Schizosaccharomyces pombe: one gene and its partners. Changing the gene in region 4 together with the main gene of any one other region gives a genetic interaction. Each region holds a gene or a part of one and is shown on either strand. Other genes may lie near its edges. The genes, in order: gef2, fim1, pxl1 and rng2.

Region 1 (6,531 bases), 2.2 Mb from region 4:
TCAATAAGTACCAAGAGACCCAGCGGCAATCTTAATATTGCCTTACTCAATTCATTGGGAAAACACTTTAAGTGTATAGCTGTTTTTTATAGCTTTCGTCGTTACCCTTTAATCTCCTTGTAATTAGCTCATGGTTTTTGTAAACAATTTGAAGCAAACTAAGTTCCATCATGAGCCTTATTCCGTCTCAATATAGGCTTGCTTTCTTTTTATCTACGCTAAATCATTATCTTATGAATTCTTATGCCGTTTTAAAAAAGGCTTTTTTCAAGTTTCTTTTATACTTAGACCTTTCTTTCTCATTCCCTTCATAACGTCAATTTCTACTTGAGTACACCATTCCGGCATATTTAAAATTATAGTATTTCCAATGGAATGTCAATGACTCTCATATGTTCTAAACTATATGCTTAGTTTTCATAACTGAAGATTTTAAACGGTGTAGCATATTCCAATTCTATACTATTTATAAAAATAAGAGAAAACTTTTTGATGAGTATTATTAACTTTCACTTACATATTGAAGGATAAAAAAAATAACTATTGATATCTAAAAAAGGAATAGTAAAACAAATAATCTAATAATCGATGTAGTATAGACTAGTTGGCTATATAAATATGTTGGTTTGACAACCTTCCTTAGCGTTTAGCTTGGATTCATACTCTTCAAGAGTCCACTTTGCGGTATCTAGTTCACATTGTTTTCTAATTAAACTGGCTTGAACTGATTGCTTTATAAGCTTAAGATCATGGTTGAAGCGATCATACAACAGAGGGATAGACTTTTTAGAATCTTCATTTAATCGAGTCATTTGAGCCAACCTTGCAAGAGTCAGATGATATTTGCGTCGTAAATCCTCGTATGCCTCTCGTTCTATTTGACCAGGTAAAATTTCCTTAGGGTGTCTTTCCGGCATTTCTTTCATGGCAATTGCTTGGAATTTCGATTCATCTAACTGTTTATCATTATTGGAATTCGCAGGGGAAACCGGAGTCGGCAATTCCTCTACTGTTCCAAAAATGCGATCACTGTGGTATGCAAGGTAATAAACAAGTTCTACAGCATTACTTCCAAACATGGAAGGAGCCAAGGCAATTGCTAGTTGTTTCGTAACAAAATCACATTGATCTTTAAGAGGAAGTCTCAAAAGCAAACTACGACGTTAGATAATAAAACCTCTGAAAAACAAGCTTGGTGACTTACTCGGAAGCAATAGAAAAAATGTTCTCAAGGATCTTTAGGCTACTCTCGGGTAAGTCTTGTAAGATTTTTTTCAAATGATAAACTGCATCAGTTGAATTGAAAGATAGATCTTCAATGTTAGTTAAAAAAAATCAAATTTGATAGCGATACATACTTAAATTTTCAACAGTATTTAACTGTTGTATGAATGAAGAAGAAAGCAAAACTCCAAATTTTCGATTGATAAAGGAGCTCAAATATTTTTGAAAGGTCGCATAAATAATATTTGGTGGGTAATGAGAGAGTAATTCTTCATTAAAAGTTTCCTTCAAAATATTATCGTACAGCTCATCCCCCTCAATCTTCTCCTTTTCAGACAGTGGATATAGTAAATTCTTTAAATCTGCTCAGTTAACGTTATGATCCAAATTGCAATATTACCTGTATGATATTTAAATCCGCCTTTGAAAGCTTCAAGATGTTCGACAGTTTTCTCAGCAGAAGCCTTCGAAGTATTATGAGTATTAAACTTCAATGATTTTTGTGAAATATTATTATGGTCCAAATTGTACATTTGCGAAGGAAGTGTAGCACAAGATTTTGATAAACCGCCTTGATTATAAAACCTGTTCAATGATAAACTGATTTTAGAAGGGCTTCCGGGCCTTCCTCCAAATGATAACCTACTTTTTCGTGGGCTGGAATTAGCAGAAAGCAAATGCTGTATAAGGTTTGAGTATAGATCCAAGCTTGAGAAATTTCTATTTGAAAAAGGGCATAGGAGAAGCCTTTTTATATTAATAAGATAATTAAGACAAGCCTCCCTAAGGTCTTCCTTAGCTATAACAGCTTCAGTAGGCAAACTGACACCTAACCAGGAATCGAAACTTAAATGAAAATCTTCGTCTTGTTGAAAAAAAGTAATGACAATATTACCGTCTTGCAAAAATTTATGCTTATCAACGTTGGCATCATTGGTGCATATGCATACTATGTCTGAGCGTTTTGATTCTTTCTCATACTCAAATCGTGAATAGTTATTAAAAAAAACCACAAAGTCATTGAGTTTTGAAAAACTAAGGCAGGAAGGCTGGCTTTTGTTCATTGAAAGTGCTTTTTGAAAAGACTGATAAAACCTATCCATAGTTCTTACATTTTCAAAATCGCAACGAAACTTCAAAATAGGATACTCATTAAAAAATGAAGGAGAAGATGCATACTTGGAAATTAAAAAAATAGTATTCTCCTCAACCATACTTCTTGTCAACTCAACCGCTTCATTCATATTTGAACCGATATATTGAGCACGCTTTTCTTTGGAATAAGAATTGCGAGGATTTTGCTTACGAAGATCCAATATAGTTGAGGCAATACTTGATTTGGAGCGTCTTTGAACAAGACAAATTCGATCATTGAATAAAATTAGAGTATAAGGTATTAAATGCAGTTGCCCGTTTTTTAGAAACTCCCTAGTCACGTCAATACAATCTATGAAATTTCGAGAGTTAGATATCATGTTTGGTGCTAAGTCAGGAATTATATGTTGTAAGCCAGCAAAAATCCTTGATCGTTCTTCGGCATCAACTGTAGGCATTTCTGCAATATTTTTTATAATCTCAACTGAGCGCACGTATGTATGTTGACATTCTCCTTCTTGTGTCAATAATATAATCTGATCTAAAAATAGTGAATATCGTGGAATCCTTTGAACTGGTTCCATAATAAGCTGACTCAAACCCACATTCATGTTTGCGTTAAGCTTTACCTGGTCATGGAATTCAACAAATTTGGGTATTTTTGAAGCCATCTTTAAAACATTACCAAAATCATTACTTTGCTCAAGGTAACGAGGATAATGTTGTGAAAAAGCGAAAAAATGAGATTCAAAACAACAAGCTAATCGAAGATCAATTTCTTCAAACTTTTTTTCGTCTATATCTTCAAAATTTAAATCACTCATGATTGCCTCAAACTCGTCAAGAAAAGCAGAATTGAGCTGAATTAATTTGTTAAGACAAGGCGGAAATAGGGTGTTTAATTCATAAAGTCCCAGCAATTTTTTCGAAGACTTGGCCAAATCCCGTAAAGGGAGTGCATAATCATTAACTAAATGGCGTAGTCTCTCAACATATGTGCTCTCTGTTTCCATCATCTCAATGAGTAAACTCTTTTTTTTTTGAATTGCAGGTATGGTTCCGGCATCTTTACTAGACGCAAAACTCGGACTCGGACTTGAAGTCTTTTTTCGTGAATCCTCAAACATTTCCCTACTTCCTATAACGGTTTTCCAATAAGAGTTAGAAGGGTCTTCCCACCAAGAGTTATCAACCTTTATGTCAAAAATAGCATCTACCACGAATTCGCGTACACCATTCGGCTCGCCAAGAGAATAAAGCTCACGAGTGAGAGAAGATGACTGGAAAACGTTTATTGTATCAAAAATATAGGAAGCATACTCAGGTTCAATGACTGACTCTCGCCAATTTTCGCCTGTATGTAAACATACAGATTCCACGCAAAGAAACTCATATACGCATGCAGCAGCTTCCTTATGCATACTAGCAATTTGCCATTCTAGGTCCAAAGTTTGCGCAAAAGCATCCAACTTCGAAGAGAAAGGGTAACATATAGAAAACGTGTCAGGTCCCAATTTCGATAAAGCATAAGCTGCTAAAATATGACCATCAACTTTGGCAAATGAAATCAATACCAAACCCATATTTGGATGATTGAAGGTACAAAATACATGATCTTGCTCAAACAAAGGATTCATTTGTAACAGATCCCTAAAAACCCATAGACCTCCAAATTGAATGCTAATTGCTAACAGTTCAGCACGCGAACCCATCGTGCCGACGTCCATGGTAAAAATAAATGAAAAAAGTAAGATAAAGGTCAATCGCGTAGACAAAAATATGAAACTTAACTTCGCCAAATATACGTAAACAAGTAAGCTTTTTTTCAACAACCGCAGTTAAATGTGATGGCTTGATAACCTGTAAAACTTGTAGAAAGAAAAGAAATAGAGGTAGCAAAATCCCTTAAACAGTAAAACAAATAGTATATTGACCAGTCAAGCAAAGCTGAAGAAAAGTTTTAAGCAAAGAAGCAATGGTTCCCAAGAAAAAGAATTATTAAATAAATTAAACCTTCAAGACTTTTTACAAAAGATCGATAGAACGGAACTTGATAGAAATTGTTTTTATGCAACTCAAAAATTATTAATGATTATAAGAAATCTCAATTCAATGTTTATTAGTGAAAGTACTTCCAGTTATACAGCTACAAAAGAAAAAGGAATAGACCCAATTCAGGGACTATATCCTAATCTCACTTGAAGCTTCCGAACCTGCTTCTCCGATGTGGTTGTTTGAATTAGGTAGTTTTACTCCATTTCTCCATTCACCGATAGGACATATGGTAATTTTCTGCAGCGAAAATCCGCTACAGCTGCTAGTCTTTTACCATATTATTAATTTAATCTTTTAGTGATCATTTTCTTGTTTTCTAACAATAAAGTAAAATAGCAACCCAAAGTCAAATCTGTCATTTATTGAGATCGGGAATTACTTAATAGACAAAAAAAGAGACATTAAATGGAAGCGAATGAAGAAAGATGCATTTTATTAAAATACCCTCATCCAAGCTCTGATATTTCTTCTGAATATTTATTGTTGGAACTAGACGACGATTTATTAAAGACTCTGGAAGAAAATCCTGAAGAAGAGTATGTGTTTCCTTGTGTATAAATAACCTGAAGTTGAATCATTACTTTTTTATTTTTTATATCGCTATTTGACAACTTATGATCTAACATCGATAATAGGATTGTCTTTAAATCAGATTTTGATAAAAAGGCTTCAGTACTCTGTACTTCAGATAAAACGTATGCTGTGCGTCAAGTGGTTCAATCAAACTCGTATTTGCTTTTTGATGAGCTCAGTCCTACCGACTGGGTATTAAATGACACATGTTATTCATTTTTAGAAGTTGAACGGATTTATGGGTTTATTTTTTCAGACGACAAAATTTCTTATTGGGACGAAGATTCTGTGGAATTGGTATGCATTTTATTGAATAGTTAGCCTTTCACTAACAGTCTCAACAGAAGCCCATTTCACTTACAAAAGATCAATTTATACGATCTGTTCCTGCTAGCAGAAATGAAGTCGATTCATTCTTGCAGAAAAACTTTTTCATGGTAAAGAATGAATTCTTGTACCGATTATCACCTTCTTACATATGTTCAATTATTGACTGGATATTTGTTATAGCCCAACAGTTACACATAGACTTTGCAAGTTTTGAGTTTAAGATTTTAAAAAAGCCAGCTATGGATGACGAATTTGATTGGGATTCAGTAATTTGTGTTCTTGAAAGTATCTCTTCACCCATTAAGGACAATGTCTTACCTAAAAAATTCAATATCGATTTAGAGTTGACGACTTTTTGGTATGGGCGATTTTTGTTAGAAGGCATCAACAGTATAAGCTCCGATGAGTTCATTCAGTTATGGGATAATCGTCTTCCGTATCCTTGTAAAGGACTTCCTTCTTTGAATTTATTAAAGGTAGGGCATTTTAGTCAGCTAATGCTAAAACTCTTTAGGGTTATTATTTTCACGATACCCCAAATACGATTCAGTATTTATCAGGAGATCAGTTACCGAGAGAACCAAGTAGGCGGTTTCAATCTTTGTTTCAACTTAAGTCGAAATGGTTATATGAAGAACTTTGGAGTTTCGTTAAAGATCTTGCCTTGTCGAAATCAAGAGTTGAAGCTCTTATATTGAAATATGGGCGAAAACAAACCAGTAGGGACGGTGTTTACATTAATTCTAGAGGGACATGGTAAAACCTTATTTGGCCGGTACTATACAGGTTGAAAACTTGATTTTATTGTACATTATTTTCGACAGGATTATGAAATCAATTAAAATTTTAATCAAACTTAAGTTTTAAATATTAAGACTCTGGGTTTTATCAACAATTTCTGAAACAGATCTAGGAGCAACATCATAATGAAAGACAACGTCGTCTCCAGATCGCCAAATTCGAGCCTTAACAGTTGCCAATGTCATTTTGGGGGTAACGACGACATCTTTGCATCTAAATTGAAGGGATGATACATCCTTTCTTTGTTGGCTAAGCTTGCTATAGCTATAATCCATAATTTTCTGAGCACGAAGCATAGCACTAGCACTTAAACGAGTGTTTTCATTTACAATAAGCGGTAAACCACTTCCAGGAAAAGGCTGAAGAGTAAAATTAACAGTAGGGGCAGTTTTAGAAGGAAATTCGTTTAATAACAGTAATCTTCCAAGCCAAAAGGGCATAATATTTTCAAGT
Region 2 (4,849 bases), on a different chromosome or scaffold from region 4:
AAATTTAGAAAGAAGTTAGAAAACATGTAATCAGATAAATAATAAATCATGCTATTTTTGATTGATAGTATCAAGTGTACCTACCTTCCACAGCTATATCAAAGGCCAATCTTCCTAAGCCGGAACCTGGAACAAGTACACGAATTTTAGATCTGTCTATAGAATCAGATGGGAAAAGTGAATTTAGTTCCTCGATGAAAGGAGCATATGTAGTACGGCGTTCCTCAACACATTCGGTCGACCAATCTCTCGCAATTTGCTTGAGAGTGCTTGAAACTTTTTGCATCATATCAACATTGACATGAAATAACTCATTTTGATCGAAATCACTGCAGAACACAGGAATGGCTGCGTTAGCGATTGCTTCAGCAAGCACGCTGTTCTGCTCGATACATTGATCAATCCTTGAAAGATGCTTTAAAAAATTGTTGTCAGAGTCCTGTAAGAGTAAGTCCTTGTGTTCAAAAGACAACCTGCTCATCGATTTTCTCTTCTGTTGTGTTATTGTATGAGCATATTGCCTGTACAAAAAGAACGCGCTTAAAACTTCTTTCAAAACTTTTACTTCTTCCTCATCATATTCCATAGTTTTTTTTGATGTTTCTGAGCTCTATCTAGACTTTAATATTTTTATCATCTAAGTCGCAATTTTGGCGTTGTGGAGAAGTTAAACCTCTAACTTGTTGCTTCATTGAAGTTGGAAGTGTTGAAGAAACCAATAAGTTAAGAATATTATGGTTAATATAATTATGTTTTATGTATTTCATTAGCTTTTCAAGTTATGTTTATATCTACTGTGTTTGATTGCAATATTGAATCATCTCTGCTGAAAATCCCTGCAACGCGGTGCCTCTATGAAAATAGTGTTTGCCTTTTGCAAAAATCCCATAGGTTTTATTTGGATAGTTGTCAGACAATATTTTACAACAGCAGCCGCAAAGGAAATTCACCATGCTTCAACAATACCGGAACAGCTAATCTTCTGAAGCATCGTTATAGTAGTATTGTGAGTTTTGTAGATTATAAGAAAATAATATAAGAGAATCTTGGTGCACGCAGTAATATCATACAATATTTATATTGCAGCTTATAAACGAGACTGGAAATACACGTGAAAAGGTAGTCAGGTTAAAAGTTTAACCCTGTGACATCTGGCTAATCTTTTATCCTATTGCGCAGTTAAAAGCGGGAATTACTTCTTTTTCTTATATTGTATCAAAAATTGTTGGCTTCAGTGACCTAAACCCTTGAACAAAAGAAAAAAAACACGAATTTTCACGGCCGGAAAAACTTTCTGCAACGTTTTACAAAGGATCTACTATCATAGTAAGTAGAAATTTTGGCTTCTTGACATATAGTACTAAGTAATTTTCAAGTCGATGCATCAGTTGACTTCAATTGAAAGAGCTTGCTAGTTTGTGATGTTTATGGCATTTGAATTCGGTAATATCGCTAATTTGATATGGACTTACGTTTAGCTTTTTATTCTGTAAAAAAAATTAAAATTCAATGTAGTTGATATCCCAGCTATATATTCAATCTAAAGCTACAACGCAAGACATCGTCAAGTAGTAAATTACTTTTTACAATTGCAAATTAACTTTTAACAGATTGGCTAAGCAAACGTGTATTAACTCATTTAGCGAGCGGATCAAAGTTTTGCTCTACGCTTCTGTAAGTATGATGTATGTGCATCAACAACACGACGTTAATCCTTGTCACGTAGCAACTGCAAGCCACCCAAAGCACACATCGTGTGGTTTCGTTTACTATACATTTTTTGGTCAAATTTTACTTTTAAAGAAATGTTAGCTCTTAAACTTCAAAAGAAGTATCCGGAGCTCACTAATGAGGAAATTCTAACCTTAACCGACCAATTTAACAAACTTGATGTGGATGGAAAGGGATATTTAGATCAACCTACCACTATTAAAGCCTTTGAAGATTCAAAGAAGGGTTCTTACGATGAGGTCCGTGAAGCAATTCGTGAAGTTAACGTTGATTCGTCTGGACGTGTTGAACCCGAAGACTTTGTAGGAGTAAGTAATGTTTTCCGTAATTTTCACGATATGTGTCTCTATATCGCTTCATCAATTGGATTACTAATGCATATAGATTTTCAATGTTTTAAAAAAAGGTGTAGAAGGTACTGAAGTAAAAAAGGGTCGGATTACTATCAAAGGATCTTCCTCAAGTGTTTCTCATACCATTAATGAGGAAGAGCGAAGAGAATTTATCAAGCATATTAATTCCGTCTTAGCTGGAGACCCTGATGTTGGTTCCCGAGTCCCCATCAACACTGAAACCTTTGAGTTTTTCGATCAATGCAAAGATGGTTTAATCCTCTCAAAGTTAATTAATGACAGCGTTCCCGACACCATTGATGAGCGTGTACTCAATAAACAGAGAAATAACAAGCCTCTTGATAATTTCAAATGTATTGAAAATAACAATGTTGTTATTAACTCCGCAAAAGCTATGGGTGGTATCTCCATTACCAACATTGGTGCCGGCGATATTTTAGAAGGTCGTGAACATTTGATTCTTGGTCTTGTTTGGCAAATCATTCGCCGCGGTCTCCTTGGAAAGATTGATATTACTTTACATCCCGAGCTTTACCGCCTTCTCGAAGAGGATGAAACCCTTGACCAATTTCTCCGTCTCCCTCCTGAGAAAATTCTTCTCCGCTGGTTCAATTATCACTTAAAGGCTGCCAATTGGCCGCGTACTGTCTCTAACTTCTCAAAAGATGTTTCAGATGGCGAGAATTATACTGTGCTGCTCAACCAATTAGCTCCCGAACTCTGTTCACGTGCTCCTCTTCAAACTACAGATGTTTTGCAGCGTGCTGAACAGGTTTTACAGAATGCTGAAAAATTGGATTGCCGCAAATATCTTACACCTACCGCTATGGTTGCAGGGAACCCTAAGCTTAACCTTGCCTTTGTTGCTCATCTCTTTAATACTCATCCAGGTTTGGAGCCTTTAAATGAAGAGGAAAAGCCGGAGATTGAACCATTTGATGCAGAAGGTGAGCGTGAGGCACGTGTTTTTACCTTGTGGTTGAACTCTCTTGATGTTACTCCATCCATTCATGACTTCTTCAATAATTTACGAGATGGCTTGATTTTGTTGCAAGCTTACGATAAAATCACACCTAATACCGTTAACTGGAAAAAGGTGAACAAGGCACCTGCATCTGGAGATGAAATGATGCGTTTCAAAGCTGTTGAAAACTGTAATTATGCAGTGGACCTTGGAAAAAATCAAGGTTTTTCTTTGGTAGGAATACAAGGTGCTGATATTACTGACGGTTCTCGTACACTCACCTTAGCATTGGTTTGGCAAATGATGCGTATGAACATTACCAAAACTCTACATAGTCTTAGCCGTGGAGGTAAAACTCTTTCAGATAGTGACATGGTTGCGTGGGCCAATTCTATGGCTGCTAAAGGTGGTAAAGGTTCTCAAATTCGTTCATTCCGTGATCCTTCTATTTCCACTGGTGTGTTCGTCTTAGACGTACTTCATGGAATTAAGAGCGAATATGTTGATTACAATCTTGTTACCGATGGTTCTACTGAAGAACTTGCTATTCAAAATGGTATGTATATATATTTGATATATTTTTAATTTTCATTACTAACACATCGTTTAGCTCGTCTTGCTATTTCTATCGCCAGAAAGTTGGGTGCCGTAATCTTTATTTTGCCAGAAGATATTGTGGCCGTTCGTCCTCGGTTGGTCCTTCATTTTATTGGCAGTTTAATGGCCGTATAATTTGTTTCGACTTAACTATAGCTTTTAACGAAACGATTTAACACATGTGTTTTTCCCAATTTAATTACTTATATTGCGAACAACTTCGGAAGTGAGTACGTCGCTTTTGACTCGCTATGTTATTAGTGGTATGTCATATTATAGATAACTTTGTGTTGTTTTATGATACATCTTAACCCGTTTTTGTCCCTTTAGTATTGGGTAATCCTTATCCTAATTAATGTTTGAGGAATTCTGAAGCTGCACGACGAAACGTAGTCATTTTTTCTCAAACTGTAGAAAATAGTTAGCTTTTTAATTTCATAATGAAGGGAAGATCATTTGTATATGTAACTAATGGTAAGTCTCTGTAGGCCCAAATAGTACGGACTGCATATGCAAATCAGCTTTCTAAATAAAGCATTCGTTGGGAGAACGTTGGTCTACCAAGCCCTAATTTTCAAACACAATAAAAAGAAATAAAAATGTATATATGTCGATTAACATTTTTTACTTTAATAAAATATTCGGAATCTTATAACAATATTATTTATTATCAGATTACTTAACATAATACACATTACGTCCACCGTATATTGTCCAACTATGTCAGCAATACTACACTACGCTATGCTACACTACGTTGCGTATCACTATATGTCATATGTTGGAATACTAGCTAAGATCCGTTTATTGATAATCACGGGTAACTATCCTTCTATATACATAGATACCCGTTGATAACAACTATTTAGAAATATTATAAATAGCGTTACAACTGAACCTCGTTCCTCAGTTCAGTTATGAGCTATATTAGTGATAGGTAACATTATAACCCAGTTAATACAATACCTATACTCAGTTGCTACTTATACAACCTGTGTATTGTAATATAATAGACCACAAGGAAAACTCACCGCAGTTCTACGTATCCTTAAATCAGATACCAAACTGCGTAGCTTACAAACTACTTATAACCACCATTCAAAACAGGTTAAATCGTTATTGCCGATTGGACTTTAAAATACATATTGCTACCTTTACTGCTATCTAAGTTTAAATTCGAAGATGATTAAGCCAAAGAAGTTGT
Region 3 (4,497 bases), on a different chromosome or scaffold from region 4:
TTCCTATGATAAAAGGCTATGTTGGTTCGACTTAGACTTTTCTTCTAAACCATATAAAAATCTTCGATATCATTCACGTGCTCTTCGCGATGTCTCATATCATCCTTCCCTTCCACTATTTTGCTCTGGCTCTGATGATGGTGATGTTCAAGTGTTCCACGGTCGTGTTTACAGTGACCTTCTGGCTAATCCCTTGATTGTTCCTCTTAAGATTTTGCGGAATCATAAAGTGGTTGATAATGTCGGTGTTTTATCCACATGCTGGCATCCAAAAGAAGCCTGGTTATTCAGTGCAGGTGCTGGTGGAGAAATTCGGATGTGGACTTGAAAAAGGTTTGAAACGTCTTAAATATTTTTGTTTTCTTCACTTGCTTTAAAATTTAGAAAAACTCTACTTTTAAAAATAATGTTTGGTAGTGTTTACTGCAAAAGATACTTTTTCAATGCTGTATTATAGTTTTGCTAACAAGTCGAAAAGATTGTTTTCGTACTTGATTTTGGATATTTAATAGGAATATAGGGGTTTTCGAAAGTTTAAAATGCATTTGTGCAAACTGAATATGTTTTTATTTTTTATTTTTTGGTAAGTTATCTAAAGTATTTAAGTATTACGTGATATCAAAAATCGTAACCGTTGAAATTCAATAGTGCTTTTTATATATCTATAGTTACCTAATCATTAATTGCTTAATTATAAAAATACAGCAAGTTTAAATGCAAGTAAACATGCTGGACTTTGTGGATTAAATGAAATGATTTAAAATCTCCAAGATTTCCAAGACAGCTTTCCTTATAAAGCTAAAATCGATGAAAGAAGTGAAAAAATAACAAAAAAAAAAGAAAAAGAAAGTGATGAGTAAGTCTGAGTTAATCCAAATTAAACTTGACTGATATCGCCTTGCAAGGACGGCAAATAGGGGTATTTTCTATCATAAAATAACCCTCATCTCCAAGTAGGGCATTACAAGCTCCGCAGGTCCAACATTGGCTATGATATTCACCATCAGACCCTTTTACACTGATCCCCAAAATGGGTTTACGGCATTTCTTGCACTTAACAGCATACTTATTATCATAACAAGTCTGACACCAGTATAGGTCGTCACGGTAAATACAGGGTATATTTACATTAAAAACTTCAGAGCAACCAGCGCAAAAATGATGATTTTCATGAAACCAATCATTGTTGATATGGACCGCTTGGTCTTCAATTGGGGTTTTGCAGTGCTTACAGCGAGGACTGAACTGTTCATGATAGTCTAGATGACAATAAAATTTTCCCTCGCGGTAATAAAATCCAACGTGCTCTAAGTTCTGGGAACAAGTATCGCATTTGAAGCATTGAGGGTGTAATTTCTTTCCTGAAGCACTAATTATTCTGCCAGCGCGTAAAGAACCGCCGCAACTATGACAGGATTTTTCAGAATTGCCTCTATAAAGAACTGGTTTTGTAGATGTATGAGAAGATACCATTGAAGGCTTAAGTGAATCTGATTGAAATAAATTATTTGAGGACAAGTTGCTAGGCAATTGTGAAGTGGGGGTGGGCAAAGGATATAAGCTATTAGCAGGAGCAGAATGAAAAGAATGCAAAGCGGGTCTACGATTGGAAAGTTTACTGGATTTCTGTAAAGGAAGAGTAGGAAGTTGTTTGGATGCGAAGGTTTTTTGTCTGTCTTCAATGCAATCATGATCAACAAGCGGCTGTAAACCGGTATGACAATCGTAAACATTTCGTACGTCTGGATAATTAACATGTGAATTCAATTCCTCCGGCGAACTAGGAAACTCATCGTCGTCACTGTATGCAAGAGATGGCAATTCAGGTAAAAGCTCCTTTTTTAAGCTATCGAAAGTAGAAGTAGAAGCAGAGGTTAGTAGTGTTTTTTCCGGCGACGAAACATTAGAACGAGAGAGCTCGTCATCAGGCAGATCAAAACGTACACGATTTTGTTTTATTGTTGGATTCCTCTTGGACAAAGGAGATTCAGGAGTCTTCAAACTTGGTTGCGGTAATGGTGTAGCTATTCGACCTCCAGTAAAGTTAAGTGCTCCATCAGATAACCGAGAACGAACTAAATTGTTTAGCGGGGAGCCATTAGTAGAGACCGGCGAAGAAGGAGCAGCACGAGGACCAGTCAATCGACGTTCAAATCTACAAAAACGAAGTTAGATACCTAATTGGGTAATAACAATAAGACAATAGATTACCTTGGTAATTCTGGAATTGGTGAATGCATTTGCTGATATGCTTCTCAACTATCAGGACACTAATCAACGGAAAGAATTCAGGATCGTTGACAACCTTAAGAAATCAGGATAGCCAAGCTCGCAGGGTATAAATCTAGCCGCAACACTTAAAAACAAGATAAAAAATAGGAAGAGAAGGATAAGGAAGGAAAAACAAAAATCAAGCTGGGATTAACTTATAGAAAATTGTTGCCAACGTAAGGATATATATCTCAAAGAGCGGAGTCCCCCAAAAAAACTAGCTGTATTAAAAAAATGCAATTGTAAGCAAGTAGTTATTATTTAGAAAGCAGTAATATTTGCTTTATCCAAAGTGTTTTAGCTAATAAGTGTTGGCTTTGTTTAAGTGTATATTCCAAAATATAAACAAACATTCGTTGTTATAGAAACCAGCCTCATAATAGGTAACATTGTACCTTTAACGAATACTTAGAGAGTACGTATTCAATGTTTGTATACCAGCAGAAAGTAAAAAAATGCGAATATATTAGTAATTAAAGTGAATTAAGCCATTCCTATGCAGAAAATGTTCCAAACGAAATCAATGTTATTTGTTGGACAATTTTATATGTTGCGATTTCATAATATGGTACAATATCTTTTTATAATTTATTTTTTTTATACTTTGGCAGTAGATTATTGTGGAGCGCGTTATTAATGCTTACTGTATTGTTACAGCTCTTTAAATGTCATTAACTACCCCATTATGCTTTGTCAGGCATACAGCATTTCGCTTATTGTTTCATAAATAGAAACCTAATTTTGGCTTTCAAGCTACAGATTGACCTAAGAAAATTCTTTACCAGTTGTAAGTATAATTGTATAAGAAAAAATATGTAGACCCGTGAGTCTGTTCAGTGTGTAGTTACTTATAAGCGTTGCAATGTGTCGCAAAATGATATTGTATATAAAATTACGATCACACTGTACCACACAAACGTCGTTAAAGGAAAAAACACTTTTTTGACTGTAGATTTGTTAGAAGCAAAAGTGTTTGAGAATAGTTTATGTGCGGAATTCTTTTCGCCTTAGCGGAAGACAGAGATAATCTTCTTGAAAGTCCATCTTTTTCAGCTTTACGAAAAAGGATTCGGGCTAGAGGACCTGATTTTTTTGGTAAGCATAAATTGAATAGCGGACCTTGGAATTTGCACTTTGAGTCAAGCGTTTTGCATTTACGTGGCCCTTCTGATCATTTAACGCCTCAACCTCATGTTGACAGTTTTGGAAACGTTTTGTGTTGGAATGGAGAAATTTGGCAAATAAACCATAGCGATCATCACAAATTTACGCTCAATCGTAATGAAAACGACGGTGCAAAACTTTTTGAACTTTTAAACAATAACCCGGGCGACATTGAAAAAATTTTGGGAAGTATTCAAGGACCTTTTGCTTTTGTTTACTACCAAGTTCGTACAAACACATTGTGGTGGGGAAGAGATCGCTTAGGAAGAAGATCCCTTTTGTATAGTTTACGAGATAGTAATTTCGTTCTCTCAAGTGTAGGAAATTCTAGTGATTTCCGAGAAGTTGAGCCTGGGTTTCATAGTGTGCAGGTGGACTTGATCCCAAAAATTAACTTCTCTAAATCATTAATGCAACTGGAAAAAACAAACCCTCTTCCTCCTGTGGATGAGTCCTTTCTCATGGGCTCAATCTCTTCAGACACTGTGGACACATTGCATACATATCTTATCAAAGCGCTTCAAGATAGAGTTTTAACAATCCCCAAACTGTGCTCTTCAAACCTTGACTGTAGTCATTATAGCCGAGTTTGCGTTCTTTACTCTGGGGGAGTGGATTGCGGTGTATTAGCACGGCTAATGCACGACATAGTTCCCAATAACGAGTCCATCGATTTAATTAATGTGGCTTTTGAAAACCCAAGATTTACAGAGACATACCGTGACAGAGAGACGGGACTTCTTCCTGACAATTTTGATGCATACGACGTATGTCCTGATAGACAAACTGGATTACAAGGCTGGCAGGAGCTTATTTCAGTTTGCCCTGCTCGAAAATGGAATTTTGTTGCTATAAACGTTCCTTATACAGAAGTATGTGAAGCACAGGAAATAGTCAAAACACTTATCTATCCGAACGATTCAGTTATGGATCTTTCTATTGGATTAGCTTTTTATTTTGCTTCACAAGGGCGTGGTGTACTTTTACAAAACGTGGATGATATCAAACTGAAACATCAATTACCTTCCTATACTATAAAAGCTAAAGTCCTCATCAGTGGCC
Region 4 (7,461 bases):
AACTAAAGCTATCTGTTTCATTTAACCATAACCAAGATACTTCGATAATTTTCCGCTTAGTCGCCTCACAAATAGGTTAGTGCAATCTTTTTTCAAAACCCTCACACTTTGTAGAAACTCAAGAAAATGTCCTTTGATAGAAAAGATATTGGTATTAAGGGCCTCGTGTTGTACACTCCCAATCAGGTATGTTATAAATGAGTCGCTACTTTATTTCAAAACTTCTCCTCCAAATTATTTGCATGCATTACCTACATCTTTTTTCAATAGTACAAATTTACGCAAGCTTCAGAGGAAAGTAATAGAAATACTTTCTCATTAAATTCCTTCAGAACCTGATATTAATCGTTTTTACCCTATAGTATGTTGAACAAGCTGCCCTCGAAGCGCATGATGGAGTCTCTACTGGAAAGTATACTATTGGCCTCGGCTTGACTAAGATGGCTTTTGTCGACGATCGTGAAGACATTTATTCCTTTGGTCTTACCGCTCTTTCTCAACTTATCAAGAGATACCAAATTGATATAAGCAAGATTGGTCGTTTGGAAGTTGGAACTGAGACTATCATCGATAAATCTAAGTCTGTCAAAAGTGTTTTAATGCAACTTTTTGGGGATAACCACAATGTCGAAGGTATTGATTGTGTTAATGCCTGTTATGGTGGCGTGAACGCTCTTTTTAACACAATCGATTGGATTGAGTCTTCTGCTTGGGATGGCCGTGATGGTATAGTTGTCGCTGGTGATATTGCTCTCTATGCCAAGGGCAATGCTCGTCCTACCGGTGGTGCTGGTTGTGTCGCCCTTTTGGTTGGTCCTAATGCCCCTATTGTTTTTGAACCTGGTCTACGTGGTACTTACATGCAACATGCTTACGATTTTTACAAACCCGATTTGACGAGTGAATACCCTTACGTTGATGGCCATTTTTCTCTTGAATGTTATGTTAAAGCTCTTGATGGAGCATATGCTAATTACAATGTTCGTGATGTTGCTAAGAATGGAAAAAGTCAAGGACTTGGATTGGATCGTTTTGATTATTGCATTTTCCACGCTCCTACTTGCAAACAAGTCCAAAAAGCATATGCGCGTTTATTGTACACCGATAGCGCTGCTGAACCATCTAATCCCGAGTTGGAAGGTGTCCGTGAACTTCTTAGCACCCTGGATGCTAAGAAATCCCTTACCGACAAGGCTTTAGAAAAAGGTCTTATGGCCATAACTAAAGAGCGTTTTAACAAACGAGTTTCCCCTAGTGTCTATGCCCCTACCAACTGTGGTAATATGTACACTGCCAGTATTTTCTCTTGTTTAACTGCATTACTTAGCCGTGTCCCCGCTGATGAACTTAAAGGAAAACGCGTCGGTGCTTACTCTTATGGTTCTGGTTTGGCTGCCTCGTTTTTTTCATTCGTTGTCAAAGGCGACGTCTCTGAAATTGCCAAGAAAACTAACTTGGTTAACGATTTGGATAATCGTCATTGTTTAACCCCTACGCAGTATGAAGAGGCTATTGAGCTACGCCATCAAGCACACTTGAAAAAGAATTTTACTCCCAAAGGAAGCATCGAACGTCTTCGTTCAGGTACTTACTACCTTACTGGTATTGATGACATGTTCCGCCGTAGCTATTCGGTGAAGCCTTAAATCACCGAAAAAAAGATTAGAATGCAAACTAGATACTGTTAAAATCTCTTTTAGTAGACTTTTTTTTGATACATGAATATGTGATTTTGACAACTTTTTTGTTAATTATTTAAAACTCATACGTATTGTAGTCTTAAAATGAATAACCTTCATTTGTAATAGCATAACCTAAATAATTAGAGTAAATTCGTCACTAACGGACAGTATCTTGAATTAAACTACTTACACCTAAAAACCCCCCACTCATCTTGATAACCCACATTTTCTTTGTCTGAGTAACAGCTACTCTCCACTAACATAGCCGAAAAATTGTGTGCAGTTACTTTATCTAGTTTGAGATCGAATGCTGAGTAGGTAGTCATCAGAAGTCTCAATGGACGTAAATGTGGGATTATCTAGACTTCAATCTCAAGCTGGGGCACCTGTTGGCACGAAAGGGTCGAACACTCGTTTAGCAGCCAAACAAAGAGAAACCCTTCAAGCATATGATTATTTGTGTAGGGTTGATGAAGCAAAAAAATGGATAGAAGAATGCCTCGGCACAGATCTAGGACCAACGTCTACATTTGAGCAGTCGCTGCGAAACGGAGTTGTCTTGGCTCTCTTGGTTCAGAAATTTCAACCCGATAAACTAATCAAGATATTCTATTCTAATGAACTCCAGTTTCGCCATTCAGATAACATTAATAAGTTTCTTGACTTTATCCATGGCATTGGGCTTCCCGAAATTTTTCATTTCGAACTGACTGACATTTACGAAGGGAAAAATTTACCCAAAGTTATCTATTGTATTCATGCCCTTTCTTATTTCCTTTCTATGCAGGACTTGGCACCCCCTTTAATCAAGAGTGATGAAAATCTATCTTTTACTGATGAAGACGTTTCAATAATAGTCCGTAGACTCCGACAATCTAATGTAATCCTTCCTAACTTCAAAGCTTTAAGTGCCGATTTTATGCTTCGTGCTAGTCCTGTTTCTTCTCGCACTCCTTCCCCTACACGATTTCCCAAGCATGCTCGTTTCCAAACCCTAAATTCATCAGATTCTGCATCTATATATTCGTCTCCTTATACTTCTCCTACTTTAGAATTTTCGAAGAAAGATGCTAGCGCTCGTTCAGACATCCTTAAGATGCACAGAAGGACGAAATCAGCGACACCTTCGTTAGAACAATTTAATGAACCATATAAACAAACTTTGCCTAGTCATTCAATCGAATTCGAAGACTCTTTTTTTCAACCCCCTTCTCAAAAGGGACATATGCAACGATCTTTCCTCACAACATTTTCAGCACCCACAAGAAGACGGGAGGCACTATTTTCTACCACTTCTGGACTTAGTCAGCGTAGCCCTGTCGATGAGAAAATCGTGAACGCGATTCAAGCTTGTGGTCGTGGCGTACTTGTGCGCTTGCGTTTGGTGGATATGTTACAATCCCTCGTGGAACAAAGTTCTTCTGTCGTACTTCTGCAAGCCGTAATTCGTGGATATATATCTAGAAATACATACAGAATACGAAAGAAAGCATACGATGAACTTGTAAACTGGGTTACTTCTATTCAATCCATCTCTCGTGCATATCTGATACGTGCACAATACCGTAAAGTGGTTTTACAGGAGGAGGCAACGAAGTCAATCCAAACGTTACAAAGCATTATTCGTGGGGGTTTCTATCGTCGTAAATACCACTCGTTAATAGAGAGGCTAGACTTATTTACACCATCATTTGTGTTAATTCAATCCTCAGCTTTAGGATTTCTTACCCGTCATGCAATAGTTAATATGCTTGACAACCTTTACAACTATATCCCTCTCTTTAACCGGATGCAAAGTATACTGCGTGCAAATATGTTTCGGAATGAATGGTCTAACTTTCTAGATTCCGTACAATCGTTTCCCGTTTCTTTTCACTCTATTTGCAAAGGACGCTTGATAAGGGATTCTATAAACAGATTAAATGGATCACTTCTGGGAGAACTGGATAATTTTATTAAACTACAAAATTTATCTCGAGGATTTATGATTCGTCGGGCATTTAAAGAGAAATTGGAGAAATTAAAAGCATCAACATCCTCTTTCATTGCTCTACAGGCAATTGTTCGGGCTTTTCTTTTAAGAAAAAACTTGGAAAGCATTTATGATTCTTTTCAAAAATCGCACCTATCTGTCATTAAAGCCCAATCTCTTTATCGGGGATTCATTACTCGAACCAAAATTGATTATTGTAACGACTATTTGTTAAAGCGATTACCAGATATCGTGTTTATGCAATCTGCAGTCCGTGCAATTCTTTTACGAGATGATGTGAATTATACTGAAGTTCAGTTAGATTCTTTTATTCCTGAAATTGTATTGTTACAATCTTTAATTCGTGGGTATCTATCTCGAAACAAATTTTCAAGAAAACTTCAAAATTTTCATAAGAATATGGAGAATCCCATAGTTGCGAAGTCCATTTTTAGGGGTCGTCAAGAAGGGTTGGCTTATAGAGAACTTGCTACGGCCAAAAATCCACCTGTTATGACGGTCAAAAATTTTGTTCATTTATTAGACGACACCAATTTCGACTTTGAGGAAGAAGTATTGCTTGAAAAAATGAGAAAAGAAATTGTGCAACAAGTACGAGACAATGAAGAAATTGAAGTTCACATCAATGAACTAGACGTGAAGATTGCTTTGTTGGTTAAAAACAAAATCAGTTTGGATGATGTTTTAAAACATCACAACAAGTATAAATTTGGAAAGCAAAGCACTGAATATTTAAAAATTAATACTCTGTCTATGAAGTCACTCAACAATTCAAGCAGAAAATTTTTGGAACTTTATCAGTGTTTTTTCTATGTGTTACAAACCAACGAAATGTACTTAGCAAATTATTTTCAAGCGCTAAAAACTGAGGGCACTTCCTCTGTAAAGATCCGTCATGCTGTTTATTTAGTTTTGCAAATTTTCGGCCATGGCTCTAACCGACGAGAAGAAGTACTACTTTTGAGATTCATTTCCCAAGTCATTAAGCTAGAAGCAGCTTTAGTTAATTCATCTCAGGATCTACTTTCTGATGACTGTGTCTGGAAATTACTGTTCACTGGATATCGTGGGGACGTTCGTGAAGTGAAGCTTTGGAAAACTATTCTCGGCCGCATTCACAAGGTTTTAGTAGCCGACAATCATTTGGATTTTGAAATCAATCCGTTGACTCTATTTAAAAGTTTCAATCCTGAAGTTGCCAGTCAAACTGATAGTCCAAAACTCACTTTGTCGTTAGCAATGCAACACCCACCGACAAGAAATCTATACGTTAGCAGACTTCGTGAACTTCGAAAACTGTGTCAATCATTCCTAGTAGCACTTTCTAAGAATATTGAAAATATTCCTTATGCTTTATGCTATACTGCAGCACAATTGAAAAATAGCTTACAACGATATTTCCCCGCTGCGCATAAAGAAGAAATTTTTGGCGTAATAGGGAAATTTGTTTATTGGGCTTATGTCGCTCCTGTACTTGTGTCACCCGATAACTTCAAGTTGGTTGATGGCTCTATTACAGCTCTTCAACGAAAAAACCTTTACACATTGTCAAGCATTTTGTCTGAGATCTTTTCAATCGAGTCCTGTGACTCTAAGCAACTTGGTTTTTTTAGACCACTCTCCGAGTTTATTGAGGTGTCCAAGCAGGATACCATGTTGATGCTAGAAAGGCTTGTCGATGTGGTTGATCCAGAGGTGTACTTTGAGTTCGATGCTTTTGAAGACCTTGTTAATACCAAGCGGCCAGTAATATACATGAAGCGAGACGATATTTTAGGCATTTATTCATCTATTGCATATGTCATAGATAGTATTGCTCCTCCTGATGTGAACGATCCATTACGCGCTGTTGTCAATAGCTTAGGTCCTGTTTCAGAGCAAGACAATGACTTTGTGCAAGATGAAACTGACGTCAAACTAGAATTGAATCCCAAATTTTGCACTATAGAAAATCCCGTTGCTCAGGAACGGACTCTTATTGTTCAGACAAAGAGATATATATTATTTATTATTCGAATTCAAAATGGCCTTAATCTTTTGGAAATACTTGTCAAACCGGTTACAGATTCAGACGAAGCAGCATGGCAAAATTTATTGGCAGAAGAATCTGAAAAGAATGCAAGGAATTATGATTTGTTTGATGATTCTATCTTTTCAATGTCATTTGCAGAACTGAAATACACTGCACTAAGCAATATAGTGGAAATGGAAAAGCTTGGATTTGCAAACCGACGGAATAATTACCAAGATATGGTAAATTCTATCGCTCTAGATATCCGTAATAAGTCGAGAAGAAGGATGCAACGACAGCGTGAACTTGATGCGGGACATCAAAGTTTGCTTAACTTACGAGAAAAAAGAGCTTTCCTTGATTCGCAGCTAAAAAGTTATAACGAATACATTGAACAAGCTATGGAAACATTACAATCAAAGAAGGGTAAGAAGAAGCTTATTCCTTTTTCTAAACAGTATTTTCACATGCGAGATCTCCGAAAATCTGGACGCGTTCCTCGCTTTGGGTCGTTCAAGTACCCAGCTCTTAAACTCTATGACCGAGGAGTTTTGGTATCAATATCTCATATGCCGCAGAAAGAAAAATTGTATATTACTATATCAGCCGATGAAGTTGGCAAATTTATTCTGGAAGCAACAAGCCCGACAGTTAAAGTTTCGAGCCCAAGGTGTGAATTGCATTTGGACGACTTGTTGTCTGCTCAATATAACAAGGTTTTAACTTTGGATGTTTTGGATGGCCGTCTCAAATTAAACACCAATATGTTCTTACATTTGATTTTCTCCAAATTTTATTCATGAGACGTTTCACTTTGTTCATTTTTCCGTCTCTTTAACTACCCAATGATTTAATTCGAATTAACTTAAAACCGTCAAATATCTTTGCACATTAATACTTGTCCATATTCTTTTGGCGAAATATGTATACTATGTGATATTTTCTCCCCTTTAATTCTGATAATTTGCACAGTTTTCCCATTTCATTCACTTAGTGTGGGGGGTTTTTTTATCACTACTTGTGTTTACTTATACTGTACAAATCTTATTTAACTCGGTGTTATTTTTCAAATTTTTTTTTTCAACTAAAGCCGTTGAACCTGAAACACTAAATCAAGGAATAGGAATTTTTGGTTTATGCATACTAGTTGTACTTGGTAATTTATACTTTCTGAATTAGTTAAAGGTTTATAATTACAAATAACACTTTTTTATAACAAAATGTAATTTATGTCAATACATACATCTTTACTAATTCTTATAAGGCGATTCGATTGAGCATGATTATGTTCAAATTAACCTTTGGATATGGGTAGGTGTTTGGTTGACAAACTTCTTAAGCGTGTTGCATTTTAACGAAGAAAATTTGAATTTTCAAATCCCGTATAGCGTGTAAAAAAATATACATTAAACACGTATTATGAGCAGAAGACTACATAGACCTAATATGAAATAAAACGCACAAAAGAATATTACGCACAAATAATGGCGAGGGTCACCACCATACAAAGTAATATTCACTACCACAATTCAGCTGACAAATACCATTACCTAAATGGCGTCGTTACCACCGGGGAATCCTCCTCCACCGCCTCCTCCGCCTGGATTTGAGCCTCCTTCACAGCCTCCACCTCCTCCACCTCCAGGTTATGTGAAGAAAAGAAAAAACAAGACTCCAGCACAGTCTGGAAATCTTGAAAAGCAACTTAACGAAAGAGCACGCAAATGGCGCGCTTCTCAAAAATCAAAGTTTGGTGTCAAAAGGAAGCAGGGTTA

The links.
Region 1: of rng2 (region 4) and gef2, changing one enhances a phenotype caused by changing the other (phenotypic enhancement), as found in Schizosaccharomyces pombe (one study listed by BioGRID).
Region 2: mutations in rng2 (region 4) and fim1 impair growth when combined (synthetic growth defect), as found in Schizosaccharomyces pombe (one study listed by BioGRID).
Region 3: mutations in rng2 (region 4) and pxl1 are lethal when combined (synthetic lethality), as found in Schizosaccharomyces pombe (2 studies listed by BioGRID, with this or other methods).

Annotation. Positions count from the first base shown.
Region 1 is NC_003424.3:417,981-424,511, reverse strand, and holds gef2 (RhoGEF Gef2), read right to left. Parts: upstream 4,571-6,531; 5' UTR 4,047-4,570; coding exon 1,625-4,046; exon of another isoform or gene 1,587-1,624; coding exon 1,359-1,586; intron 1,314-1,358; coding exon 1,205-1,313; exon of another isoform or gene 1,156-1,204; coding exon 609-1,155; 3' UTR 521-608; downstream 1-520. Other genes in the region: pre9 (proteasome core particle subunit alpha 3), read left to right, coding at 1-35; Ctf18 RFC-like complex subunit Dcc1, read left to right, coding at 4,780-4,910, 5,010-5,244, 5,292-5,753, 5,792-6,037; bun107 (WD repeat-containing protein), read right to left, coding at 6,141-6,531. UniProt on the Schizosaccharomyces pombe protein: Has a role in the control of cell polarity and cytokinesis. Involved in bipolar growth and septum formation.
Region 2 is NC_003423.3:3,105,698-3,110,546, reverse strand, and holds fim1 (fimbrin), read left to right. Parts: upstream 1-1,738; 5' UTR 1,739-1,805; coding exon 1,806-2,039; intron 2,040-2,115; coding exon 2,116-3,604; intron 3,605-3,658; coding exon 3,659-3,780; 3' UTR 3,781-4,305; downstream 4,306-4,849. Other genes in the region: SPOM_SPBC1778.07 (carnosine N-methyltransferase), read right to left, coding at 85-586; guanyl-nucleotide exchange factor Lam2, read left to right, coding at 4,828-4,849. UniProt on the Schizosaccharomyces pombe protein: Binds to actin, and functionally associates with actin structures involved in the development and maintenance of cell polarity. Plays a role in cytokinesis. Plays important roles in mating and in spore formation.
Region 3 is NC_003423.3:2,710,255-2,714,751, reverse strand, and holds pxl1 (paxillin-like protein Pxl1), read right to left. Parts: upstream 2,585-4,497; 5' UTR 2,241-2,584; coding exon 2,212-2,240; intron 2,156-2,211; coding exon 868-2,155; 3' UTR 545-867; downstream 1-544. Other genes in the region: erb1 (WD repeat/BOP1NT protein), read left to right, coding at 1-328; asn2 (asparagine synthase), read left to right, coding at 3,258-4,497.
Region 4 is NC_003424.3:2,643,498-2,650,958, forward strand, and holds rng2 (IQ motif containing GTPase activating protein), read left to right. Parts: upstream 1-1,930; 5' UTR 1,931-2,019; coding exon 2,020-6,489; 3' UTR 6,490-6,930; downstream 6,931-7,461. Other genes in the region: hcs1 (3-hydroxy-3-methylglutaryl-CoA synthase), read left to right, coding at 127-186, 363-1,646; U5 snRNP complex subunit Spp42, read left to right, coding at 7,241-7,461. UniProt on the Schizosaccharomyces pombe protein: Component of the contractile F-actin ring; required for its construction following assembly of F-actin at the division site.